Linked DNA regions of Oryzias latipes. The protein of the gene in region 2 interacts with the protein of the main gene of each other region in a pairwise test. Links are inferred from orthologs where the notes say so. Each region holds a gene or a part of one and is shown on either strand. Other genes may lie near its edges.

Region 1 (2,825 bases), on a different chromosome or scaffold from region 2:
GTTTGTCTATATTTGGCACAATGCAGCCATTGATAAAGCTGCTTATTGATTATATGCCATTATGGCTTTATTTAACATTTCTTTCATGACCTGGAAAATCTGGCTATGATAAAAATGAGTTTTATGGCTTTTCAAGACGTTTGAATGTGCTGGAGTCGGATTGCGCTGCAGACAGTCCTCCTTTTCCAATGTTCAGGAGATTGAGCTTTGATTCAAGATGACATAGCATTTGCTGCTCATTTTGCTTTCATTCTCTAAGTGTCATATTGAAGATTTATTCATTGCTTTGTTTCCAATGTGAGCTCTCCTTGTTTGACAGGAACCCAGGCACCTGCAGTTCTTTGCTGACTTCACTGACTGTGATATCTACTCTGTGCTGTCAGCCAGAAAACTATATGGGGCACCAACAGAATTTGCTTTCTGCATCAAGGTAACAAGAAAAGAAAATAATGAAAAAACTGCAGAGACGTTTGAGGCGTGTGATTAAGTTCATTTAACGATTTTGTCTGCTTTTATCTCCGTGCCTCAGTCTACGAAGAGTTGTTCAGCTCGAGACCTGAAGCTGCTTTGTGCCGATGTTGAGCACACCAAGACCTGCTGGATCACCGCCATGCGCTTGTTAAAGGTTGGCTTACAGATGAATAACTCCAACGTGTGATATCTAAGAGGAGGAATGCCGACGCAGTGCAAGAATCAGATTTAGCTTTGACGGAAAGTTGAGAAAATCTATTGAGATGCTGGATTAATACTGCTACACTTGATATAAGGAGTATGTGTTCATTGTCTGGATATATGATAAAAAAAGTTTAAAGTTGGCGTAACTCCTGGTAATCCATAAAAGCTAAAATGCTGGAATGAATGTCTGAGTCTGTTTTCCTTTTTCACTTGAACAGTGCTGGTCTGGTGGGAGTTTAAAGTTAACTCGTGTTTGTGTTCAGATTCATGATGCTGACTTTACTCTGTGTTTCAGTTTGGGATGCAACTGTACCAAAACTTTATTCAGCCTCATCAAAAGCAAAAACTCTCACCCATGGTAGGACAACCTTGTTGTTATGCAAAATAACATGAGTATTTAAAGAACCACTCTGATGAAAATTGTGTTTTTGGTGTTTTTACACATTCGTATAGCATTTTCTTTTATTACAGTGGGCATATATAAAGTAGCATTTTTAGTATTTCTTCATTCAAGTTGTTGTCAATTAGAAGCAGATGAAAAATGCTAATTAAAACGAAGCATGTTTGCGACTTAGAAAATGCAATGGGCGGGCCACAAGTTCCCTGCTCCGAGCTCTCAGCAACCAGGAGGGGATGGGGGCGTGGGGTTGCTCTACACCAGCAGTCCAGCGCACAACTCAGAGGCAAATTTCTGATGAACTACTGCCGCTATGCAGAAACTATGTCCAAGAAAACTACACAGGTTTTTGGATTTTTGCTAAAAAGGGCTTCATCATCATTAAAAGACTACTGGAAAAGCTTTTAGAATACATCAAAAGATAAATAGAGTGGAACTATAATGAAGCTAACACCTCCAATACCCTAAACAGTTGGTTTCTACCTTGTGACAAAAAAGCCTGAAAATTAAAATCCTGCTGAGAAAATACAGATACATTCATTTGCTTTTCATACACTTACTGTAACTTTACTCAAAGAACAATTGCAAACAAAATCTGGCTGAATATAAACGTGTTTTAGGCAAAATTAAGTTGTGTGTTTGGATTAACTTTGTGGCAACTGTTTATCATTTCTAAAATGCACTCATTGAAAACAATAGTAGCAGATGTTAGTTTTAAGAAAAGTAAATAATGTGCATTTTTTCAATAATCCAAGTCTGGTGTTATTACAGTTATTGCTTAATGTTTCCTTCTGCAGTATGAATGTACATCTATTGTGCAGCATTTCATCAACAACAACTAAACGACTTAAAATTGCAATTTAAAATGCAATAAATTATATTTTAGGAAGAAGAAATACTTTTCTAAATGCAAGAAAAAGGTGTTCTATTTAAGTATTAGAATCATATTTATGGACTGCTGGTGTTCTATAAATAAATAATGATCCACAGTTGTCAGATTTCACATTCTTTTTCTCTCATTCTTTGGTTTCAAAATGTTCTATGACCATCAAGATATAATAACTACAAAGAAGCAGACTTAGTGGTTGAATGAATAACGATATAATGATATTATTTATGTGGCTGGTTCATCCAAAACCTATGTATATAATAAAGGTTTGCTTTAAATTCCTTAAAAACTCACCATTTTCATTTTATGGTACTTGGACAGAAAAGTGAAACAGGGGACATGCACATCACAACATTTACATAGTTTGATTTATTTTAAAGGAACCATGGAAAATATTTACTGTACTTGTAATCGTTCCTCATTAGTGAAGTAGTGACAAAAAAAAAAGGAAAAAATGCATGTTTTTGTGCTGGATGATTGAGTGTCTCAGCAGCAGATTTGCATTCCTAAAAGATTTTAAACCTGAAAACAAAAAACTATAGACTTATAGACTTATAAAGCATAGACGGACTTTTTAAAGAGCACTTGCTTAAATTGCAAGCTTAGTGTGGAAATTTAAACGCTTTGGGATAATCCGTGTAAGTATTTTCGTGAGTGTGTGTGTGTGCTGTTATTCAGTCACTCAATCCATGACAGTTTAAGGGACTAAAATACGGCTGTGTGTCATTCTTCGCAAAGCCACTCTAATCCTCTCTCAATGGTGTTTTCTGTCTGGAATCATCCAGAATTTATGAACATGAAATGACATCAAGAAGACACTAGGTGGCAGCACAGTATCACAACGCAGTACCTTCTATTTTTTAT
Region 2 (3,500 bases):
GGGCAAATTCTGAAAGTTTTGCTTTACTCTGAACCTAAATCTTAGCTTGGATTAATAAAACAAGAAAAAGAAACATGGATAGTCGTAAAATTTTGAGTATACGTTTTTTTGGACTAAAGTCCCAAATGTTTATAGTTGTTCAAACCATCGTCTCCATCCTGATTGAAAAAATTTTTCTAAAACTGACCCAACACTTTTTAGGAGGTTTAGGCTTCAAGTATGCTTTGTGTTTTTGCATGTGAGAGTCTATGATGTTAATTAATCTATCCTAGCTGACTCCGCCCTTGTCCTGTCCCTCCTGTAGCTGTCACTCAATACCCCCCCACCAGTCATACCTACCTGGAAGTAGGCATTTACTGTGCTGGCTTCTTTTTCATCGCTGTCATGGTTGCCATTGCCGTCATCATCAAAATTCGCTCCACATCGAAGAAGAGTGACTTCAACAGTCAGCTGGCAGTTCACAAGCTGGCTAAAAGCATCCCTCTGCGCAGACAGGTAACAGAAAGTAGATAGGGGGTTTGGAAAACTCTTTTCCCCTCTTGTTGTTTATTCAGATTTTTTGAAACTCATAGCTTTTAGTATTTTTGCTTTGTTTGCACATTTCCAATTCTGCTTTTGTGGACGTTTGTAAATAAAAGCATTCAGAACTTGCAGGTGTATTGTAGTTGCTGATGCTCATGTGTAGCAAGTAAGTATTTAAGCTGCTCTGAAACTCCCAAACTGCAGTGCTTTAACACGACCTCTGTTCCAGTATGAGAAGATTAATGTAACTGTTTCTTACATCAGGTGTCAGTGGACTCGAGCTCCTCCAACCATTCTGGAGTAATGCTGGTTCGTCCCTCCCGCCTCTCCTCCAGTGCCTCTCCTATGCTGTCAGGAGTGTCTGAATACGAACTGCCCCAGGATCCACGCTGGGAGGTCCCAAGGGACAAGTATGTTTTTCAGAAAAAACCTTGAGAGTATACCTGAACAGCAGAGGTCTCCTGGGACTGCATTTTTCCCACCTGTAATCTCAATTAAAAATAAAGGAGTTGCGTAGAGACTGAGAAAAATCTAACACAAGCTTTAGATTACAAATAAATCTGTTTTGTTTTGAACTAAAATGTATTTTTTAAGATGAACACATCCATAATTCTCTCCTCACAGACTCGTTCTTGGAAAGCCACTGGGTGAAGGATGCTTTGGTCAGGTGATGATGGGGGAGGTGCTGGGTCTGGACAAAGAAAAGCCAAACCGCGTGACGAATGTTGCAGTGAAAATGTTAAAGTGTAAGTTACTTTCTTCAAATGAAGAACAAGAAAGTTGGACTTGTAGAAAAATTTCTTTCATTGTCCCAAAATGGGTTAGGCTTTAGAGTTAATGGCAGCAAAACGTCAACCTGGGATGCACAGATTTTAGAAAAAACTTTTTTTTTGTTGGATTCCAGCCATCATTTTAACAAGAGAACTGAGTCCAACATCTCATGAAAAGGTTCTAAATCTTTCTTAGAACACATGCGACATGCCTATTGATTCATATTTGTGAATCTTTAATCTATGTTTACAACACCCTAGGCAGCATTCATTCAAGCACCCACTTCCAATGAAAATTCTATTTAAATGCGTTTTTCTGGCTTCCGTGTTCAAAACCCTCACGTTCATGCGTAGCTACGTTAGTTTTTACAACCGTAAAAACCGTAAACTTCGACATATGGGGCGGACAAGGCAGGAATCAAACTTGCAATCTTCCAACCGACCACCCTACCATTGCACCATGGCCGCCCCATGTCACCAAGTCTTATTGGAGTAGAGCTGTGGAAGAAAAAGCTGGACCAAGATTCAAGAGAATCACCGCTTGACATTGCACACCAAGCCTGTTCCAACTGTAGGTTGGAAGAGGCTTGGGATGCGCTAGTAAACAGTAAAAAAAACAAAAAAAAAACTCCATGCTTGTCCAGTGTTAACACCATGGGTTCTTGAACATGCGGCAAATGCACGGTGTGTACATAGCTTTGTAACTGACTGGATGTAGATCAATCAGCCTGTAGTGACTTATTGTCTTCTCTTACAGCTGACGCCACAGAAAAAGACCTTTCAGACCTGATTTCTGAGATGGAGATGATGAAGATCATTGGGAAACACAAGAACATCATCAACCTGCTGGGAGCCTGCACACAGGATGGTAAGACCAGATGGAGGAGGTCCTGCTTCTGACCTTTTCTGCTCTGATTAGACCATCATGTGCAGATCTGTCCCTGAGACAGGAATGTGAAAATGACCTAAAAAGATGTGCTGGACATCATGAACAAATGATTTCAACTCCAGTCTTGACTCTTGACACTCAAATCAGATGCTCATGCTTTCACTCTGATTAAGAAAACCAATCTTCAATGATCCAACAGAGGGTTTCTTCTGCTGCTTTTCCTTCTGTTAAAAGTTCTTTAAAAGAGCTGCTATTGTTTAGCATGTTGGGTTTGCTTTGCAGAGCTTTGATGGTGTGAACAATGTGAATGCAGCAACGCAGAATTCTTAGACGTGTGTGGAGACGAGACACTCGGGACCACAGTTCAAAAATGGAACAAAAAGAGAGTTTATTGCGTTGAGTGATGTTGGCGTCTTTGCTCTGTCAGTTTGTTGGAGCCAGGAGCCTTTGTCAAAAAAACAGAAATACCTCAGGAGTTCATGACACTAAAACACCAGGCTCTGTGAAACCCTCTACAAAACACACAACTAGTAAAATAATAAACACACATGCAATTTAAAACAAAGCAGCTCTGGCAACAAAATAAAATCCGTCCTGGGTTAACTAATAGCAAGATAAAAAAAACAGAGGGGTACTTGGCTCAAAGAGGGGCAGGTCACAACCACACCCCTCTGTGTTCCAATGTCGCTGTCCCCTCTGACCGCTGTCTGGCTCCTGACTCAGCTGCTCCTCTGGTGCCGGCCAGGGCTCGTCTATCCTGACTTCCAAGGCGCCCCTCTCTGATCTGTCCCGGCGGCGCTTTACCCAACGATGAGTGTTCCTCTAATGTCAGTCCAGCGCTTGCTTGTCCTGGAGCACTCCTCCGACCAGTCGCTCCTAGCATTTGGTTGTCTGGTGGCTTTTCCTCCAACTGCTCATCTTCCACTGCTCAGTATAGCTCTTCTCGGGCAACGGCTTGTGAAATAAGAACACGGTTCACCCTGTTACATGAAGTTCAGATACCTCTGTTGAAGAACCGAGTCTGTACAGTGCTGGTCCACCGATATTAATTGCAACCCTTTCGTACACATGCACACTGTCAGAGGGAGATGGTCACGTTGTTCCTTGTCTACCGCCCTCCAAAATGGTTAGGCTGGCTGGCGGCTGCTGCCAGGGCGTCCGTGGGGTTCCTGCGCCCCTAACCTTGCAGCACTTTTTCCGCGAGGCGAGTGAGTCCACAATATCTGAGTTGGGTGGACCATATCCCAGAGAAGATGGGTAAAGCTCCTTTTCTGGGCACACCGGGGCAACGCAATTTTTCCATCACTGCTCACAGCAAC

What was found. The genes of interacting proteins can lie anywhere in the genome.
Region 1: the proteins of fgfr1 (region 2) and grb14 interact in a two-hybrid assay, tested with the Homo sapiens proteins (2 studies listed by BioGRID, with this or other methods). The link is inferred for Oryzias latipes from reciprocal best matches to the Homo sapiens genes FGFR1 and GRB14.

Annotation. Positions count from the first base shown.
Region 1 is NC_019879.2:21,292,666-21,295,490, reverse strand, and holds part of grb14 (growth factor receptor-bound protein 14), read left to right. Parts: intron 1-319; coding exon 320-430; intron 431-529; coding exon 530-625; intron 626-970; coding exon 971-1,033; intron 1,034-2,825. UniProt on the Homo sapiens protein: Adapter protein which modulates coupling of cell surface receptor kinases with specific signaling pathways. Binds to, and suppresses signals from, the activated insulin receptor (INSR). Potent inhibitor of insulin-stimulated MAPK3 phosphorylation.
Region 2 is NC_019867.2:20,593,812-20,597,311, reverse strand, and holds part of fgfr1 (fibroblast growth factor receptor 1 precursor), read left to right. Parts: intron 1-304; coding exon 305-501; intron 502-786; coding exon 787-932; intron 933-1,146; coding exon 1,147-1,268; intron 1,269-2,049; coding exon 2,050-2,160; intron 2,161-3,500. UniProt on the Homo sapiens protein: Tyrosine-protein kinase that acts as a cell-surface receptor for fibroblast growth factors and plays an essential role in the regulation of embryonic development, cell proliferation, differentiation and migration.